Linked DNA regions of Danio rerio. The protein of the gene in region 1 interacts with the protein of each later gene in a pairwise test. Links are inferred from orthologs where the notes say so. Each region holds a gene or a part of one and is shown on either strand. Other genes may lie near its edges. The genes, in order: tceanc, ssna1, csrnp1b and obi1.

Region 1 (5,080 bases):
TTTCCAATGTAATCTGGTACAAACATTTTGGTATGATAATTAGTTTGGATACAACATAAAATTTCATCTTCATCCTTTTTAGACTCATCTTCTCATGCAAAATTCTTAAGTTTGATTTAATAGTAAGGATAAAAAGTTATTTTGAAAATGAATATTTGTATCCATTTCTCAGTGAATTTCTCAGGCAATGTATTTTGGTGCATTTAAACAAAACAGATTTATTAAACAGATGCTTTAAAGGATTAAGTCATAAAACATATTTAGAAAGTAAAAGATAATACATTTAAATTCAAGCCAAATATTGCAAAATAATAATAATAATAATAATAATAATAATAATAAATTAAATAAAAAAATTCAACCTACAAAATTTCAACAAAAACTTTCAATTTCTTGATATCTCATTTTTAAAATTTGTTTTTAATATTTTTCTATATCATATCAATTTGGGTGTACTAGTTTTTGGAACGTTATCGTAAGTTATTTTGTTAGATAAGCTAAAGATTTGGCTTCAGTGCTGACTAATCTAATGTATATGCACAAATATGATATTTTATAGCTTCATATTAAAAATGTGAATTTAAAAGATAAATTTGTGAGGGGTGTATGCTGAGCACTTTATATTAAATAACTTGTTGACATTATTACAATTCTATATTCATAAAATTTAATTTTTGGTGGTATTTAAAGATGAATATGTGATAGCATATTGGTTTTAGAATTTGAGTACTTCATCTCCCCTGCTACTTTTTCAATTATTTATTTTGTTTGTTAACTTTTGTTATTTATTTATTTATTCATTCATTCATTTATTTATTTATTTATGGTGTATTGTTATTATTAATGTGAATGAAAAGATTGTGAATGAAAAGATTGTGAATGCAAATTGATTGTCATCTCAGTCTTTTTGTGTAAATTAAAAAAAAAAAAAGTATTAAAGCTTTTCTGTTATTGTTTAAGCATTGTTAATTAAAAAGAAAAAGAAAAAAGTATCTAGCAAGACAGGACATTCTTATTGAAATATTCCAGACTCTGTACAGAATATATCACTTGGGAGTTAAAGTATAAAGTATGAAATAGTGTGCGAGTTGGCAAAGAAAGCACTAAAGTATACTCTCTAAAATGTTAATGTCCCATTGGGCAAATCTGAAATGTAGGGTTTAATTAAAGTCAGTAAAAAAAAGATGGCGACAGACATGGACTCAGGAAGAAAGGGGAAGACAATTGTATCAAATAATGAGGTAAGTTGGGTATGACAGGTTTGTGACAAAAGAAGGGATGACAATCTCATGCCTCCGAATTGGGCTCACTGCATTAAACCAATCACTGTTTGAAATTGGCAAACACGATACAGGTATGTGGAGTATATGTGGAAATCCAAAATTAGTTGAGCGTGTTATTTTAATTGTCATAGTTATAATGAGGAAAGATCTCAGCTTATGGAGGAAATGAAGAATGCAGGAAGTTTAAATCTAACACTAAAGAAGTAATAAATTGAATAACTAAATAAATAAACGGGCAACTCGGTGGCGCAGCGGGTAGCACAGTCGCCTCCTTGCAAGAAGGTCACTGGTTTGAGTCCCAGTTCGAGTCCGTTGGCATTTCTGTGTGGAGTTTTCATGTATTTCCTGTGTTGGCGTGGGTTTCCTCCGAGTGCTTCAGTTTTGTCCCACAGAAAAAGACATGCACTTGGTGTATAAGCTATGAGGTGTATAGGTGCTGTATTAGCTGTGTAAAACATATATTGGATAAGTTGGCAGTTCATTCTGCTGTGTCAAGCCCAGATGAATAATAGGACTAAGCTGAAGGAAAATTAGTGAATGAATTAATAAATTTAATAACTAAAGATGTTAATTTAATAAAAACTAAAGTATACCTAAAGTATCTTAAAAGACATTGTTACTTAGACAAGTTTAATTTATGTATTTGATTAAATAGCTTACCATTTTCTTTTCCCCCCATTTCTTTGCTTTGGTCTATTTCTGTATTCCTTTCTATATCAACCCCTCACCCTCCTCCCCACTAGGTGGCGGAAATTCAGTAAAGCTGCCAAAGTTTGCAAGAAGAAGAAGAAGAACAACAACAACAACTGCATTGCGTTGATGAAATACATGGCTGTAGAAGTAGCGACTTTGTAAAAAATGTTTTACTGCTTAGTTAATAAAGAAGATACGTGTTTGTCTGCAATTCAGATAACGTTAGCGGACATATTTTTATTACGCTTGAAAACTAAGCTAACGCTTCGGATTCTTCAAGAACAGTATTTTCCAGGTGTAACGCTACTCCTTAATTTTCCTTAATTTCGAAGACGTCATGCATACTAGAGAGATCATATATTATGCTACACAAATCGAAAGGTTGCACGAGGACGGCAGTTATGAAGATGTTATATCATTACTGACTGAACTCGACATCACTTCTGTCACGTTAGAGCAGATTCAGACAACAGATATTGTAAAAGTTCTTTACAGACTGCTTAAGTCCTGTCCTGTTTTGAGTGCTAAAACAAAAGCAAAAAGCTTGCTGACAAAATGGAAGAAGTTGTACAATTTGTCACATGCAATATTACTCAAAAATAATGACAAAAACACACGGGAGGACAAGGAATTAGAGACGCCAAACAGAGAGTCAGAGACGCATAACATGTCTAATGTTGAGTTACCATTGGGATTTCCATTTTTAACCAATGGATTTCAGCCCTTACATGAAAAAGTGAACGAGAGTCAAGCATGTAACACAAAGCAGCTTGATATAACAAAGGATGCAAACCAGGGAAAATGTAATAATGTATGCTTTAATGCATCTTCTAAAAAACTTTGTATAGCAACTGAATCTGCAGAATCTCTCCAGCCACAGCTTGAGCAAGAGAGCCTCACTCCAGCCGTGGAATCAAATAGATCTGATGCAGAGGAAGGTGCTCAAACCTCAGTTCCTCAAAACACAAATCAGCACACAACTAACTGTGACTCTACAGCACTGAGATCCAAATGTGTCCATCTGATTCTTCAGGCTCTTGGCACAAACCAACAAACAGACCCAGGTCATATGAACAAGCTCAAAGCCCTTGCTGAGAACATTGAGTTGCATGTTCATGCTCTTCATGGACGAAACCAGCATAAGTTCAAGTTTCATATTAGGAGCAAGGTTGCCAACCTAAAGAACCCAAACAACCCCCACCTACGCCAAGGCCTTATTTCAGGACAACTGACTCCAGATGCATTTGCCCAGATGTCTGTAGAGGAAATGGCAGGTGAGAAACTTCGACAGCTCAGAGAAACTTACACTAATTTGGCCATCAGTGAGCATCAGTTGCCAGAAACAGTTGAAGGCACCCCTACCAATAAAGTTCGCTGCAGGCAATGTGACAGTATGGATTGCAGGGTGACTCAAATCTCACGAGGGACTCTTTTCTTGCCATCCTGGGTGCAGAGTGGCAGTGCAGATAATGATTCTATGACTTTTATGACCTGTGCTAATTGTGGAGAACAGTGGTACCACAGTAATTGGGTTTGCCTTTGAGCAAGTGCGTAAAGATAGCAACATTGTTCTGTATTATTTGATCTGTACTATTGAAGTTTTTGTTCACAATGATGTTAAGATTGTCAATTATGTAGTCTTCAATTTGGTGCAGTGAACCGTATAATGCGCATTCATGTCTGTTTTGGAAGAGATGAATACACCAAGAATAATAAATATAATCTCTAAAAACTGGTTTTAGATGCATGTAACCATTAAAAAGGTAATTAATGTCTGTTTTAATCTAAGTATCAGTATGGCTAGACACACTTTTTTATGTTGACTTTAGATGTTTTATTTGTCCTCCAAAAACTTATGTAAAGTATATATTTAGATTATTTTCCATAAGTCACTGTTAAGTCTGTAAATATGGAAACGAATAACTATTGAACTGCTGTAAACATACATTTATAATTTATTATTATAATACGTATTTACTGGTTTTTAAACTTTTTTTCTTAAACTCTTCTCACATCAAATTGTTTTGTACATTACACGTCATCTATTTGTTGCAGTTTTTTTTTTTTTTTTTTTTACTAAAACAAGCTTCCCACACTTTTAGAAGGTACTTAAAAACAAACAGGTCCTTAAGGTTTGTGAATTAAATTTTAAATGAAATTCGATTATGCTGTTATTTCCACAATTGTAAAAACAATTGTAAAAAAGAGGTAAATTCTTAATTAGTATCGAATTCGACAAATTTTATTAAAGTTTTTGAACATGGCTATTTAAAATAAAATTCTTCATTCAAAAAACTCATCATTATGCACACAGTATTATTGTTAATTTTAAGTGTAAGTGAACTGTTGAGTACAGTAAGAAGTTTCATGGTGGTGGCAGTTTTAAAAGTCGTTGAAAGTCCTTGAATCTGCTGTTAATGAAAGAGTGGGAACCCCTGTATAACTGTGATGTTCTGTAATGACAGTAATCACATTCATAAACATGAACATGCTACATTCGGATAACACAAAGGAAACAGCTCAAATTTGATCTTGTGTCTAAGCTTAGCAAATGTGACGGAAAGTGTGCCACATCCAGAAAGCATGTGTAGTTGCTTTATGATTGCTTGGAATAATAATAATAAAACATCTTAAGTGCTTAGTTGTCTTACTAATCAGTTGTTACATCGAGTTGATTTCTTGCATATGTTTGTAATGAAATGACATGACTGTATGTGTTTTATAGAGAGGTCATGCTGCTAATCTGTAATGTCTGTAATGAATTACAGATGTAACCTCATCAAATAGAATAAATGCAATTCAGCTGAATTCAGCTTATACCCTTATTATATATATATATATATATATATATATATATATATATATATATATATATATATATATATATATATATATATATATATATATATATATATATATATATATATAGATGCAGTGGCACAGTAGGTAGTGCTGTCGCCTCACAGAAAGAATGTCGCTGGTTCGAAACTTGGCTTAGTTGGCTGTTCTGTGAGGAGTTTGCATGTTCTCCCTGCATTCGCGTGGGTTTTCTCCGGGTGCTCCGGTTTCCCCCACAGAGTGTGGATGTTTCCCAGAAATGGGTT
Region 2 (5,704 bases), on another chromosome or scaffold:
GAGACCTAAAAAATTGGTTGGGTTACATGTTTGATACTTTAAATACATAGAAGTGTAAAAACATCAGGCTCTATTTTACGATCTAGGTGCAAAGTCTAAAGCACATGGTGTAACAGGGTTGTGCCAATTCTCTTAATAGGTTTTGGGTGTGTTTTGAGCAAAACGTGCATTAAACAAATCAGAGTTTCATCCAACAATTCCTTTAAGAGTCAATTGCAATGCGCCATGGCACATTTGCTATTTACATGGTGTGTAATAAACATGAATTTGTAAGTGGAAAAATTGAATGCTTTACTAGCAAGAAAATGATTAAACAGAACACTTGCAGCGCGAGGATAAAGAACGAGCCTCCTACTCATCTTTACTTTCTCTTTACTCCTTTACTTTTGTGAAGTTAGGAGCGGTATTGTACACACTCCAAAGACATCTATTAGACTACAAATGAGCAAATCAATGAAAATATCAACCTTGCCATGAAAAAAATCCAAATTACGGAAAATTCATATTATGGTTTCTGGGTTTTTTGGGTAAGCGAGTATTTTACAGTACTTTAGAAATACTCAAAAATGAATCCGTCAATTTTTTCACTTCAGATCATTTTGGAAGGGCACTTTCTATCCTAGACTAAAAAGGGCATGTACACTGCACAGGCTGAGCCCTATGTGTGCACGTTCCTGATCCAGAACACTAAACAGCACGATTTGATTTGTATCTTTGTTCTGTTGTATTCATTTATGCTTTCGATTTGTTTATTGTACATTGTAATAAACACACTCCCTACACAAATATCACAATATTTTAGATTCTTTCCTAATAGTTTTTAATTTAAATCATCTTATGAAGTGACATTAAAATCGTAATATATTTCATAGAACACATGATATTGCAAAATCAGTTCTTGCAAAATCGTGCAGCCCTGTAAAAAGATTATTTTTGATTTCCAATTAGATGCTTTAAGAAGCTTTCTCTTTCAGCATTCTAGCGCCTTTCACCTTATCGTTAGCATTACACGATTTAAATTATGTTTAACACTCACCAGAGAAGATGTCACTGTGTCCCAGGCTACTGACAGTCCCTGCGGCACAGACTGCATCTCGTTCATTAGAGCGCAGATAGTAAACAGCAGTTAGGCTATGCTCGTTGCACTTATCCGTCCATATCCCGTTACTCCGTAATAAACATGTCTAAAATATACAATAAAATATTTCATGCACTGAGAAAATGTAGCGCTCTTCTTCAAACTGCCGTCGCTCGTCGATGACGACATTGATGTTACTTTACCGGATGTTGATAATCGTAAGAAGAAGACGAAAAAAAGATAATCGTTCATTGATCCAGTTGTCTGATACCAAATAAGCTTATAAAACCTTATCTGTTTGCAAATTTTTTTCCCAATGTTTAATGAGTAACTTTTGCTTTTTTAGTTGTTTTTAGTTGTATTTTTCTTCACTGTTAAAGATAATTATTTAGCCTATTTGTTGTTGTATGTATAGTCTTATATTGTATACACTGCTTAGGGGCTTAAAATTATTTTTAAAATAATAAAAATAATAATTATAAGAAATGGCAACGTATAAATACTACTACTACTACTACTACTACTACTAATACTACTACTACTAATAATAATAATAATAATAATAATAATAATAATAATAATAATAACATTTTTTTCTTTTTTCATTATGTTTTAATAAAATTAACAATAAAATATAAAATAAAATAGTAAATAGTACACAGGCAAATTATCCAATTAAATAATATTTACAAAGTAAATAAAAACTTTGTAAATAAAGACAAAAAAATTCACAGTTTTAACACTTTTTGCTGTAAACTTTTTGTAAAGAATAATAATAATAAAATGATGATGATGATGATGATGATGATGATGATGATGATGATGATGATGCAAGTTCTTTGCGACTCTCTCATGAATGATTGTTTGCTTAATTATATTTAAAATGATTAACTCAGTACCTATTACACATTTATTATTATGATTCATGCGTTCGTTGTTTTTTATCTATCCTCTATAAATTAAAACTCAGAAGGCCTGTTAGGTGTAGTTTAATTTACTGGAAAGGCATGGGATGTGTTCAGTGTACTTTATTGTCATTGCATTTTCATATTCTGACTGCCTTTTTATTTGTTAAATGATTCATCTTTTTTACAGCTTTGTGCAAATTTATAAAATAAAAGTCTAACGGAAACCGTCATGACGACGCTTCTTTGACGTTTCCGTGGAAACAGGAGGGAGACTTGACTTGATTCACTCGCTTCTGGAATGTTTTCTTTAAACTTACTCCCCTCGCTGATCTGCATCATTTAATACCCGGTAAAGTGTACGGCTTGTTGTTTCAAGGAAAAGCCTGCATCAGAAGGTACAGCAAACTAACTGACTTCACTGTATGAAACGTCTTGAGCGATTAAACTAGTTAAGAGGCCTTTTTGTGTTGTTAGCTAGCTAGCCTGGTGATCAGAATGACCCAACAAGGAGCTGCGCTGCAAACCTACAACAACGAGCTTGTCAAGTGTAAGTAGCCATATATTTCATTTTGCCGACAGGGGAACATTCGTTTCCTGTTTATTTTAAATTTCTTGTTACTTTCATCTGGTTGTATGTGGATGTTTGCTGCTAGTCTCACTCAAATTAGCTTATAAATAATCAGAAAACTAGTTTTAAAAAATCGAATTCATGTTCAACCAATGTTTAACCTGTGCCTTTGTTCATTTACATTATTAACCTCACTGCTTTTAGCAAAGAAGGCATTTACTTATTTATAAGAAAGATCAAATTGATGTCTTTTCAAGTCTGGGGTGAAACACCGATAATCCTTTTAATGAGATTGAGTGGATTCAGAAAGTATTCAATCACGTGTATCAGGTAATGTCAGGGTTCATACGGTCATGGAAAACCTGGAAAAGACATGGCATTTTGACATGGCATTTTCTAGGCCTGGAAAAGTTTTGGGAAAACAGAAAAACCACTATGTTTTGGAAAAGTAATGGAAAACATATGTTTATACTTGAATATAGGTTATTTTACGTTACTTCTTTTCTGTCCCTGGTCAGTCACATACTCTCACATTATTGGTGAGAGAATTATCAATTTTACATGGATATAAATATAAAATGAAACTAGATGGATTGTTGCATGTTTTATGATATGTAATAAATTTAAACATGCATTGTTTGTCTTTTACCACACATATGTAGACATTGCATCTTGAAAAAATCATGGAAAAGTTATAGAATTTTAGTAGTAAAAATGTGTATGAACCCTGTAAAGTCTTTGCATTAGGTTAAATGTTGAACTCCCAGTTAGTGTTTCTCACTTTCACATATGTGTTGTTCATCACTTAAACTATGATCTTAACACACCGACATTTGACAATAAGGTAAAATAACATCATTTGTCTTCATTTTGATAAACATAATATATGTTAATTAAACATTGTTCTAACATTCAGGTCACATTTTAAAAATACTGTAAAACTCTCAATTCAATTCATGTATATTTCTCTAGTGCTTTTCAATGAAGAGTGTTTCAAAGCAGCTTAACATAGACGTTATAGTAAATTGATACCATGTCAGTCCCGTTTTCAGAGTTGAAGTTCAGTTCAGTTCAGTGTGGTTTAATTTTCACTGCTGGAAGTCCAAAAACTAAAGAGCGGGTGTTCAGGCTGCCCCACAGGATCAATGCAGGGACTCGTCTGTCAATGTGGTCTTTCAGGAATCATTCTCATGCTCTTCGCTCCTTCATGACTGCCACAGCATCCACTCAGAATACGGCCTGGTTGAGGATATGGATACCTCTAAAAGTCCTCTATGGTTGGCTTAATTTCTTCACAGGTCTTGGATCATTGGCGCTGCGTAATCTTTAGAGGCCTCAGGATGAGTTTCCCCAGGTGGAAATAGAGAATAATAAATCCTGCCTTAAAGGAAAGATAAAGAAATGCAAAATTCCACCTTCGGAACTTAAGCCACTAATAAAAGGCTATATTCTAAACAAAGGGCAAACAGAATGGGATCAGTGCTCGGAAAATAAACTTTGAAATTCAGCCAGAAATAGGAAGAAAATCCAATTTATTTTTTATCTCAAGACACGGTAAGATTGTTTATAGAAGATGCCGCATCTGCCGAGACTCACACATGAACATTTACTTAAAGGAGAAGAACCAGTAAAATGTCAATATTGCCAAAGAAACCAAACTGTTAAACATTCTTGTGGAATGCCCTATTTAATGTTATCAGACAATAGTTTTTATTTGGAAAGGCTTTAAATAAAATAGTTTTAAATGGGAATCCTTCTAAAATTGTAAATTTTATATCAAAAGTAATCCTTAAAAACTTTTTTAGATTTTTATCTTGTATATTATCATTATTTATTTATTTATTTATTTAACCTTGTTCATTATTAATTGCTGTTAGTGACTTTTAATTGTTAGAATATTTTTATAACTATAGAAAAGTGAAACTTATAATATGTGGTAAACTTGATTTTTTATTATTTTTTTATTTTTTATTTTATTTGCCATGACATAACCAAAGAAGCTGAAATGGCAATAAACTCAAAATTCTCTCTCTCCTATACAGTAGCCTCAGCCCTTAGTCTTTTTTGCATCAGTCAGCAGGAGGAAGTGCTGAGCAAGCCTTCGTATGTCATTTATATGCACTCCCTTTCCACTATCACAACATGAATGTAAAGCAACATAAGGAAAACATGGATATGGGCTAAAACTGCTCAGCAATTTCAAATGATGGCCTCTTTCCTTCTCTTTGTTTTTTTTTTCAGGTATAGAGGAGCTTTGCTCTAAAAGAGAAGATCTGAACCGGCTGATCCAGCAAGAGGAAGCAGAGAAAGCTCGTCTGCAACATGACATCCGTGTGCTAACAGAGAAGCTAAGTCGTGTAAACGAGAGCCTGGCCCACCGCCTCAGTGCTCGTGCTGAGTTTGACCGCACCATTGCAGAGACGGAAGCTGCGTACATGAAGGTGTGGAAACAATAACAAATTAGACATTATCTTCATAGAAAAAAAACAAGTCGCTTTATTAAAATTGCATCAGCGAGAACTTTATCGAGCGAGAGAATTGAATTTTATTTTTCAGAAATTATGTGATACGAATTTGCTAAACCCAGTGCCAGCCTAGTATCTCAAACAAATTCATGAATTAAACTTGTACAACCTTTCTAAAATTAATGAATAATTAAGGAATTATTGTTTAAAACATAGGTGTCAGTGCTGTTGCCTCACAGCAAGAAGGTCACTGGTTCGAGCCTCGGCTGGGTCAGTTGGTATTTCTGTGTGGAGTTTGCATGCTCTCCCTGCGATAGCACGGGTTGCCTTCGGGTGATGCGGTTTTCCCCACAAGTTCAAAGACGTGATATTGGTGAATTGGGTTTGCTAAAATTGACTGTAGTGTATGTGTGTGAATGAGTGTGTATGGATGTTTCCCAGTGACAGGTTGCAGCTGGTTGGGCATCCGCTGCATGAAACATAAACTGGATAAGTTGGCAGTTCATTCTGTTGTGGCGACCCTTGATTAGTAAAGGGACTAAGCCAAAAAGAAAATGAATTAATGAATGAACACCGGTGACAAACTCGGTTACTAGAGAGCCGCGCTCTGCACAGTTTAGTTCCAACCCTAATTAAACACACTTGAACAAACTAATTTAGTCCTTCAGACTTGTTTGCAACCTAC
Region 3 (5,718 bases), on another chromosome or scaffold:
TTGCAATAATTGTATTGGAATTCAAATTCCAGCAGAATATAAGAAACCCTCCCTCTGCTGGTCAGCCTTTAAAAACTGCAGTCAGGCGAGAGGAGGGAGATGTGTGGTTGTGCCGATCATCACTCTAGATGTTAAACTACGCCAGAGACATTCTGTTCCTGAGCCTCAACCCATGCAGAGCACACATTCATCCCAAATAGGAGAGCGCACTGATGTGGGAGGAGGGTAGCGGGCGAGAACTTTAAACAAATAAATAATGCGATGTCTCCAGCCCACAGGAATTCTACTCTGGCATAGCGGCACGTTCTGTAATAGTCTATCTATCCCAGATGTGTCTGCATTGTCCAGACCACTATTGCCCAAGAGGATCCACCTCAGACAGAAACACCGACACAAACACCTGATGGAGTCGCGAATCATTAGAGATGATGACGTTATTGTCATATTGACGAGATGATGTTATTAGGGTGGAGATGAAGATTTCTCTCACATGCTACACTATGGATTCAATACATCATCAAACTTCGCATTTCCATAGACATGTTTTCAATTTGAATTAAAAAGTTATTTAAGCAAAAAGGGTACCAATTCTAACTTAGACAATATTTCACACTGGAATTCAGAGAGGTGGAAATGTAACATTTTATAAAATAACAAAATGAATCAGATCTGTTTGACCATATACTGTTGTTTACTTTTTAGGATGGGGGTCCCTCACATGACGATGAACCGATTATTAATTATTATGAAGATCACCATCTAAAGGTCATCTAAATTATGCTAAGAGCCATAAGAAAAACATCTCAAAACACCCTCCTAAAGTTATTTAACAGTTTCGAGAGAATCACTGCTCCTGGTTTATGTCAACGAATAGAAACTCTGACTGCTCAGGAAATTGCCAAAACTGAAAGAAAATACTTCCACATGCAGCAATTTGCATCAATATCCGAAATGCAAACTTCCAACACAGTCCGCAAAGTGTAGGTTCCTTGAGAAGTCATCTGTATGAGTTTGTTCTGACTAACTTAATGGTGACAAAAACAAATACTAGCCATCTTTACCAGTCTCTCGGGACTCACAAGGGAGAGTATATGTGTGCGTCTATAGGATGGGGGGAGCCCAGGGGTCATCAGCTTACGTCTGGGGCACTTGCTGGTACCTCACAAGCTGGGAGGAATGTTGGAGAGTGACAAAACAGATGGGTTCCCTCTGCTTCTCGGTTTTAGAGACATCAGGACTTCAACACCCCCCCCAATACTATTGCACAAAAGCCACACACATATCTATCCAAATAAAAACACCCTGCCTGTGGGTGGGAGATTAATAAAAATGACATGTTGTGATGTACACCAATTATGACGGCATCATCTCAATTTTTTCAAAGCATGACTGGATTTAAATAGGAAGAGGGAGGAAACTATCCAGACATGCTACTTTAACCAGCTGAGTGATTTCACTGACTCTGGAACACGTGCAAGTTCACACCTCATCAACCCAGAAGTAAGTAAACAATACAATCTTTTATGGTCCTGTTTGATTAGTTTAACGTGCACTTGAATTCAAAACAACATCGCAGGTTATGGGAATAAAAAGTCTCACTTGTAAACAGTTTACCACAGGGTAGTGCAAAAGCATTTTAAATGAAATAAAACGCTAATGGACTTACTAAGCTCGTTTTAAGAATATAAATCCCCTAAATGTGTGAGGTATGTCAACAAAAACACCAGAAAAAATCCGACTTGTGTTCCCACAAACAATCCGAGTGAGGTCGCGCGTGACAGCGACTGCGCGCTCGTTCACACAGAAGCACGCGCAAAATAAACACACTCAAACTTACGACACAGCCACAAATATACAAGCATCATCATCATAACACACCCTTCTGCGCTCGTGCCTTCAAAAAATACTGAAATTATTGAACTAAAATTTACATAACAAGCTCAATGAATCCCACCATCAAACATTCAATGTGCTCACAGTCAGGAATTGAAAATTACCTGACAAAAGGAATGCCGTGAGATTGTAACAAACCGAGTGGAATGAGAATATTAATTTACTTCAGTTATCCCAATCACGCAGAGCACAACGTGTTGGTGATTGTTGCCTCGTGATTGACTGTCAATCAAACCAATTATCAAATGACCTGGGGAGACTGTTTTGCTTGCTTTTAAATAAATAAATAAAAAACACTTTTCTTTGTGAATGAATTATAGGCAATTGGTTATGTGCGCCTTTAAATGTAGCCAAATAAAATAGCACTGTAAAAGCCATTTATAGGCTATTGATCAAATACCGGTTCGACCAGCTGAAGTTTGGATCGGATCAAGTAAGGTCTCCCCCAGACCTGCATTCAGCCTTGTATGCACCCTCGGTGACGTCATCGAGGACTGGAAGTGCATATGAGGCTGAGCGCAGATCTGCATGCAGACTACTGAACTGATGCGGTGTGGCACCTTAAGGAGTCGCTCGCGCTTCAGAAGATAGGCTACACCAGCGCTATAAACGTGAACGAGGAATGCACTCAACACTCACACACATTCAAACTAGCAATTACGGCTTATCGGATACACACACATACGGTCCACTATCCTGGAATTCTGCCAATGGATCCGATCAGAACCGCCAACAGCTGCTTATGAGAATAAGGCTATCTTTTATTAAAACCCAGCAAACACTGCCAATCAAAATTACTGACAGAAAAAAGCATAAAACCCGCGAATATTTAGACCGATCTACACACTTAAAACGGTTTACATTAAAGCACCAGAAATTAAATTAATTAAGCTTACCAGAGTTTATTATAACACAATTAAAACGCAAGACAATGGCTTAATAACTTTAGTTAGTTTTTTTTTCTGCCACGACAGTATACAACAATGTCCTCTGGATTTGCTACTTGAAATAGTTACACAACACATTTTATCTCTTTACACTGGCCGACAAAAGAACATTGAAACTATCTGGCTGGACTCCAGATCCGAGGTTTGCCTATTAGACACATTACAAGTGCGGCGTTAAACAGCGCGGAGCTCCGCTACTCACCAATAACGTGTCCGATCAGCATTAGTAAATCACTATCTAGGAAAAGATGAAGCTGTAATAATCCAAGAGATGCGATCGCGCGTTTATCCGTAAAGAGATCCCGTTGTGTTCGTGCGGCTATTGTGCGCTCGGCGGACTGGAGCGGCAGCTGAAGCTGTTCCTCTTGTCTGAAGCAGACGCGGAGCAGCGCAGTCTTTTCGTCAGTGGAAAACTCCCTCCTGGCGTGTGACGCAGGCGGTGACACTGAGCCCACGCGCCGCTTCCTGCCTTCCGCGCGGGGCGACACTCCTCCTGGCGCACACAGAGAACGAGAGAGAGACCGGAACAACAGCGCGAGTTATGGGAAACTGTAAATCTTTCATTGCCTTCAAAACATTTACTATGGTAACCACAGTGGCTGGCAAAATATTGGAGTATACACACTGAAATCATGATCAATTGTGCTTTCTTAAAACATTTTAAGATAACCAGAATCTATTTTGCTTTAAAGTAGCTTTCTATATATATATATATATATATATATATATATATATATATATATATATATATATATATATATATATATATATATATATATATATATATACACATATATATATTTTTTTTTTCTGCGACGTTTATGTTAAAATGTATATAATCAATATAAAAGTGTCAATCACATAATCAAAAAAAAAAATATATATATATATATATATATATATATATATATATATATATATATATGTATGTGTATATATTTTTTTTTTCTGCGACGTTTATGTTAAAATGTATATAATCAATATAAAAGTGTCAATCACATAATCAAAATTAATATTATTACTAAATAATGATAATAAATAATTATAATAAATAATTATATATGGACAAATAACTCAAAATATTACAAAATGTTATATGTGAACTATATTTAAAAAGTATTTTAAAATTATATAGGACTGTAAAATGTAATGATGTTATATATGTAAAGTAATGTGTTGTACATTAATACAGTAATTTGTATTAATGGTATTTATAGTTGTTTACATTTTTGTTTTACACTCTTTACATGTTTTACATAAATTTTACATTTTATATACATTTATTGTGATGTCAATTATAACAAAAACTGTTTAAATGAATAAATCTATGCAGTTTGATAGATGTTTATACAATCAGATTTCCTGAGTCAACCTCACTGAAGTAGTGAGTCATAAACCCTGCATCATTTATCAGTAAATCCCGCAATCCTTCTGCATCATTCAGCAGCAAAACTTGTAAAACCATTGCCTAATTTATTGGTCATACAGTTGCAGCGGCATTCTGAGCCGACATGAAAACAACTCTCAGACATACTGAATAAGCCATTAGATTACATTACATTTGCATTCCTTCTCTAGGTTGGACTGGGGTTGATGGCAAGTTCACGATGCATCCCAGTGATTTCAGGTATGACTGAACATGCCGTGTCCTCCTATATCTACAGCATCTCTCGTCCTGTCAGCTGTGTCATCATTAACTGTGCACGCCTCTGTAATGCAGAATTACACTAATGCAGTGTTTATCAGAATCGTGCACATCGTAGACACGTTCGGGTGGAGTAAACTTTCGATTTCTATTGAAAAAGGGAGTGCTGCCAGTGTCAACACAGGTGTAAAACACAAAGTGTCTTAAGTGTTTAGGTGGAGTCGCCAGAAGTACAGATTGAACACGCAATCGCACTCCTCTTCTTAGAGAGCTTCAGCCCTCTGGGTCCTGTAAAGAGAATTATCTTCTCCATCCCAAAACTAAATACACAAGTCTGGTGGCTTGCTGAGAGTCACAGGTCTGGTGTTGTTTCAATACACAAATCACACCGTTAAGCTAAGCAGTGCTCAAATTACAGCTTTTGAGCACATTTACAGACAATGTTGTTGTTTATGGAGTTCATGTTACTAAGGAGTGTGTAACTATAATCGTCGATGTGATTCATCAGTAATGGTTTACTTATTACTGCACGTGTAAAATCATAAGTGTGTGTTTATGGGTCTGGAATTTTTTCCTGATTAGCTTGGCTGCCGCCTGTATGGTTTTAGATGCTATTCAAATGAATGCAGGTCTACTTTATTACTCCTTTATTCAACTCACGCCAACAAAACCACTAGGGGTAAAGACTCTTGCTGTGTCGCCGTGGTCTTGAGCAGCTGAGAAATTTGTTAAAGAGGGAAAAAGAGACTCAGTGTGCTTCCAACGCAAATACATGTCATAATGTTGATAAATGATTTCACAAGATAAAAAGAACTCATTGCAAAGTGGAAAAAGTTGAAGGGATGAGCACTCCCAAAAGTCTGGCTTCTAACATCTTATAACAAAAAAAAAACTTTTAAGATCTGCCATGTTAAATTTTTGACCAAAAAGAAGACAAACACACCAAGCAGGCACAGGACGTCAACATGGTGTCAGATTGATGTTGTACCTCAAACATCGTGGGGGCGTTGCATTTTGTTTGGAAATGAAAATCAGGTTGACGTCAGAACCCAACATCAGGCCGATGTCAGAACCCAATGTCAGGCTGACGTCCATGTCCAACATCCAACCTAAAATTAACCTAATATCAATGTCTAATGATGTTTCAGCTTCACATTGTGTGGATGTTACCATTATGACGTCTATCAGACGTTGGTTTTTGGTTGTCATACCTTACAAATAAATGTCAGTATT
Region 4 (5,529 bases), on another chromosome or scaffold:
TCTATTTTACAAGAAATGTGTCTTGTTAAGGGTGGCACGGTGGCTCAATGGTTAGTGCTGTCGCCTCACAGCAAGTAGGTCGCAGGTTCGAGTCCCGGCTGGGCCAATTGGCATTTCTGTGTGGAGTTTGCATGTTCTCCCCATGTTGGCGTGGGTTTCCTCCAGGTGCTCCGCCAAAGCCCCCCCCCCCAGAGTCCAAACACATGCAGATAGGTGAATGGGGTAAAAAAAATTGTCCGTTGTGTATGAGTGTGTGCAAGTGTGTGTGTGAATGATTGTGTATAGGCATTTCCCAATACTGGGTTGCAGCTAGAAGGGCATCTTCTGGAACAGTTGGTGGTTCATTTTGTTGTGGCGGAAAGAGAATAAGCTAAAGGAAAATGAATGAATGAAATGTCTTGTAAATACTTATGATGTCTATCGGTGTTCTAGATCTGCCAGTTTCAGAATGTTGAATGAATATTTTCTGACATAGACGGAATGGTGCAATTATGCAATGGTATGAACCATTATAGGGGTGGTCAAATGTATATTCACATTATCTATTATGTTAATTATTAATATTATTATTTAAGGTACAGATAAAACATAACTAGTTCTCACTATTAAAGGGCTGAACCGCACATACATCTTATTCTGTCCTTCTTCAGGAGGATCAAGTGTTAATTAGGGGGGTCAATTCCTCCAAAAATCCCCCTGTAATTTGCACACTGGGCAACACATGTCTTAAAGACTAATTAAAGTAAATCAAATGTGTGGAGATAAGGATATAAACTTTGCATATTTTCTTCACTGGTTTTGGAGGGAAATCTCTTATTTGGCTTGGGGGTGAACAAGAAAGAACAAGCAAGTCAATGAAAATGGTTGTGATATGATGTTTTGTTACTACAAATAAAATGAAATCTTGTTTTGGTGCACTTTTTCCCATATTCCAATCTTGTCTTTTAAGTGGTTTGAACACAGTCAACCACATAAGTGACAAAATATGAAAGTAATCCAGTCAAATGCATTTATGACTACCTCTGGAAGTGGTTAAATGCTTGTAACGTTTCACACTATGCTTACACTGGTTTTTAACATTGGATGTAGGTCAGGGGTGTCCAAACTCAGTCCTGGAGGGCCGGTGTCCAGCATAGTTTAGCTCCCAACTTGCTTCAACACACTTGGCAGGAAGTTTCTAGTATATCTAGTAGGAGCTTGATTAGTTCAGGTGTGTTTGATTAGGGTTGGAGCTAAACTCTTCAGGACACCGGCCCTCCAGGACCTAGTTTGGACACCCCTGATGTAGGTGAATTGTAAATGAAGGCTACCCTACACTAGAAACGTCAACAAAGAAAACAAACGATAAGTTTATTGGGTGTTTGAGCAAAAGAACCTCATATTCTCGTAAAAGCAGCTCCCCTCGAGTCTTTCGGAGGCGTCTCTTTACAGAATTGCTCTCATTGGAGTCAGTATCGGTTGTGGCTCCTGTGAGCATACAGACAGACACACACACTGTCAAACATGAAGAAACATACAGTTGAAGGCAAAATGATTAGCCCTCCTGTGAATTTTTGTATTCTTTTTCCAAATATTTCCCAAGTGATGTGTAACAGAGCAGAGGGGAAAAGTGTCTACGTTAAACAGCACTTGGGAAATATTATAAAATAATTTAAATTTCAAAGGAAGACTAAATATTTTTACTTCAATTATATTTAATCACATTCAAAAAGAGCTTCATATTTCAATAACAGCAAGGTTTGACCAGGAAGTGTGTTGACTTTACCAATGATTTCTCTGCAGGGGTTTTCTGGGGTGATGGCCACTCTACAGGTGGGACACTGACTGCTCTTCTCCAGCCAGACTTTAATACAGCTGGAGCAGAACACATGGTTGTTGCAACAAATGACCGGCTGACGCACCTGCGAATCAGAGCCAAAAAAAACCAACAACAGGTAAATTAAGCATCATGATTCATGCTTGTTGATATTCATGACAACTAACAATGATCATTATCTACATTACTCATCATTGTTAACAAAGATGACAAATAACTCATGCATGTGGGTCAAAAATTCTACCTAAAAATGATGATTCACATACACAGAAGCATATTAAATCTAAAAGCTAATTACTTATAAAATGCTTCAAATAATATAAAATGTCAAAATATGGATGAATTAATAATCATTATTGTCGTTCAGGGTGACGTGGATTTATGTACAAATTAAACTACATATTTATTTTGACAGGTACTTGATAAAATATATTTAAAAATTAGCAATCTAAATAATAGCATTGTATATGAAATTAATATAAACGTGAATAAAAGCTAGTAAAAATATTCTAAATACAATTTTACAGGGTACGATATAATATTGTAATAAAGTAACAATAAATATTTATGATGCAATACTTCTAGATTACTAGGATTCAGAAAGACAGACAGACAGACAGACAGACAGATATGTGGATAGACGGACGAACGGATATGTTGGTGGATGGATGGATGGATGGATGGATGGATGGATGGATGGATGGATGGATAAATAGACAGACGGACGGACAGACAGACAGATATGTGGGTGGATGGATGGATGGATAGATGGATGGATGGATATAGATAGATAGATAGATAGATAGATAGATAGATAGATAGATAGATAGATAGATAGATAGATAGATAGATATGTGGGTGGGTGGATGGATGATGGATAGATAAATAGACAGACAGACGGACCGACGGACGGACAGACAGACAGATATATATGTGGGTGGATGGATGGATGAACGGATGGATGGATGAACGGACGGACGGATGGACGGACAGACAGACAGATGATAAAAAAAAAAAAATACCCTCAGCAAGTCCATTTTCCCATCCTGCCTCAGTAAATTCTTTGCCCTGCCCATTAACAAACTTAAACCAATCAGATGAGGTGTTGCATGTCAAACATGCATATGTTAGCAAACGCTTTTAACAGTTAGCATTAACTGCATTTTGAGCAATACATCTCAACGCAGCAGAGAAGTAAAAGTGTTTAGGTAAATACCGGGCTGGTGCTTTTGAATGTTTTGTTGTTTAATTTAGTTCTATTTAAGTGTACTGGTATAATAGCGCTTTTCACAATAATTATCGTACCAAAGCATCATTACATTACACTCTAAATCAGCAAAGCTAGGTTAAGTTGTGTATAGGGTGGACTGTAATAAACACAGTTAACCAGATGAAGGTAAAGTTATATTCGCGCATTCGGTCATTTAACAGTTCGTATATTGTTTACCATGCTACATTGAATATTCGGTCTTAAGCATGAAAGTATGGATTCAAAACAACATTAGCACTATTTATTTAACTGTAAACAATGCTGTACTTTGATAGTCATTGGCTGCTAATAAGATTTCCCTATTTAGAATTAGCTTTTGTGAAACTATATTATTAAGGATGAATGTGTGAATATAAAACCAACTTAACTTCAATGTTAACCTGCAGGAATTTGTTTGTTCAAACCAAATGTAAGTTAACTTACTGTTAGAAATTATCGCTGTTTCTAGACGTTGTATCTTTAATAGGCGTTATTTTATCACAGTGTCTTACGTAATAGTTTTATGTTAAAGATATATTAATAAATAATGGACATAACGAGACATAATTTAAGATGCAACAATGACATGATGTTGACGAGCACACTGTACGAGTTTAACTTCTGTCGGTAACTTAAACTAAGTGTATTAAAAGTTTGTTACCTTTCCGAGACAAATCTGACAGGATATGGGTAAAGTCAACGAAAGAGTGACGTTTTGAAAACTTTGCGCCATGATTAGTCCTTAAATGCACAACATGATCCAAAACTCCCTCCAACAGAGACAAAAAGAGGCGAGGAACCCACGCGACTACGGCAAGCGCAGAGCTCTACTGTAAAACGCGTCTGTCGTAAATCTCAATGTGGCGCTTTTATGTAAAGGAAATCAAGTGCTAGTTTTATTGTACATTTGTTTTGCTCCCAAGCAGGAAACTCTTGTTTTTTTTTTTTGTTTTTTTTTTTAGAAAATATTAGCCACAAACTATTCAGTTCAATCTTGAAAAAATATTGTTTGTATCTCATATACTGCTAATAAAATAGGTAAGCAATCTTTCAGTAAGCATTATTATTATTAGTAGAAGTAGTATTTATTAATACATGGGTTAATTTTAATAACTTCATCAACATTGTATTGTATCTTATATACTGCTAATATGTACGCATTCTTTTAGTGAGCATTATTATTATTATTATTATTATTATTATTATCATCATCTAAGCTAATACCAATAGTTTAATTAATAGTAGGAGTAGTAATAAATTATAATATTTCATTTTTGTATAATAAAATATGCATGCATTCTCTCAGTAAACATCATTATTAGTAGTAGCATTTAACAGTAAATGATAAAGATTACTTTTAATAATAATAAATATGTTATAAAATAATATTTATTATAGTAAGACCCTATAACAGCAATTAAAAGCCAGATGAAATTTTATGTATTTTTTGATTATTATTTCTATAATTGTAAACTATTTATTTTAATTTTTTATTGTTTTATTTATTTATTATGTTTAATTATTTATTATTATTTATCTTATAAAAATAATTATTTATTTCTTAGTATTATTATTATTATTATTATTATTATTTATATATAATTGTACAATATTAATTTGATTGTTTATTTATTTTTAATGTTTTTAATTATTTTTTAATTATTTTATTTAATTTATTTTATTTTTAATTATTATATATAATTTAAAATATTTATTTATTTATTTATCTATTTATTTATTCATTATTTTTATTATTATTATTATTATATAATTGTAAAATACTTATTTTTATTTATTTTTTATTGTTTTATTTGTTTATTATTTTTAATTATTTTTATTATATAAAATGAAAATATTTATTTATTGTTATATATATATATATATATATATATATATATATAATTGTAAATTATTTATTTTTTATTATTTTGTTATTTTTATTGTTTTATTTATTTGTTATTTTTGATTATTTATTATTATATATCATAAAAAAATATTGATGTTTTTTATTTATTCACTTATTTACTACACCAAACATTTTTAATGCATTTATAATAGTGTTTGCCTCCTTTTCTCCCAAAGCGTTTGGTCTCTTAAAGTCAGCCCTTTGTTTCGAGAGTTTTATTGCGACAGTATAAACCATTATGAGTATTATTTCATTTTGATTCAATCTCATAATTCATTGGTCATTGCCAAATGATGTCTTTATTATCCCATAGTGACAGAGCCGGTGGCCGAGTGCTTGTGATATAACTTCATTAGCATCGAACTGATGCAAAACAATGTTGTACATCGATTGCATCAAGCGGCCTATTGGTGCTGCGACTACATTACTGTCATTTGTTGCAGCTCTTTCATGTCAACACAGCCCACAGAGACCAGACTTTTAGACCACTGTACGCCAGCAGGCCTGAAACGCAGAATAAGACATCGTTCCTAGAGAGAGACCAAACTGCTGAGCACA

What was found.
Region 2: the proteins of tceanc (region 1) and ssna1 interact in binary tests that used the Homo sapiens proteins (3 or more experiments, as listed by UniProt). The two-hybrid records come from large-scale screens. The link is inferred for Danio rerio from reciprocal best matches to the Homo sapiens genes TCEANC and SSNA1.
Region 3: the proteins of tceanc (region 1) and csrnp1b interact in binary tests that used the Homo sapiens proteins (3 or more experiments, as listed by UniProt). The two-hybrid records come from large-scale screens. The link is inferred for Danio rerio from reciprocal best matches to the Homo sapiens genes TCEANC and CSRNP1.
Region 4: the proteins of tceanc (region 1) and obi1 interact in binary tests that used the Homo sapiens proteins (3 or more experiments, as listed by UniProt). The two-hybrid records come from large-scale screens. The link is inferred for Danio rerio from reciprocal best matches to the Homo sapiens genes TCEANC and OBI1.

The regions. Positions count from the first base shown.
Region 1 is NC_133176.1:39,099,335-39,104,414, forward strand, and holds tceanc (transcription elongation factor A N-terminal and central domain-containing protein), read left to right. Parts: upstream 1-2,068; 5' UTR 2,069-2,313; coding exon 2,314-3,519; 3' UTR 3,520-3,693; downstream 3,694-5,080.
Region 2 is NC_133180.1:59,865,772-59,871,475, reverse strand, and holds the start of ssna1 (microtubule nucleation factor SSNA1), read left to right. Parts: upstream 1-2,242; 5' UTR 2,243-2,481; coding exon 2,482-2,533; intron 2,534-4,795; coding exon 4,796-4,995; intron 4,996-5,704. UniProt on the Homo sapiens protein: Microtubule-binding protein which stabilizes dynamic microtubules by slowing growth and shrinkage at both plus and minus ends and serves as a sensor of microtubule damage, protecting microtubules from the microtubule-severing enzyme SPAST.
Region 3 is NC_133199.1:23,587,451-23,593,168, forward strand, and holds the start of csrnp1b (cysteine/serine-rich nuclear protein 1b), read right to left. Parts: upstream 3,212-5,718; 5' UTR 3,043-3,211; intron 2,374-3,042; exon of another isoform or gene 2,294-2,373; intron 2,065-2,293; exon of another isoform or gene 1,998-2,064; intron 1-1,997. UniProt on the Homo sapiens protein: Binds to the consensus sequence 5'-AGAGTG-3' and has transcriptional activator activity. May have a tumor-suppressor function. May play a role in apoptosis.
Region 4 is NC_133181.1:5,242,637-5,248,165, reverse strand, and holds the start of obi1 (ORC ubiquitin ligase 1), read right to left. Parts: upstream 3,868-5,529; 5' UTR 3,799-3,867; coding exon 3,727-3,798; intron 1,935-3,726; exon of another isoform or gene 1,902-1,934; coding exon 1,766-1,901; intron 1,468-1,765; coding exon 1,376-1,467; intron 1-1,375. UniProt on the Homo sapiens protein: E3 ubiquitin ligase essential for DNA replication origin activation during S phase.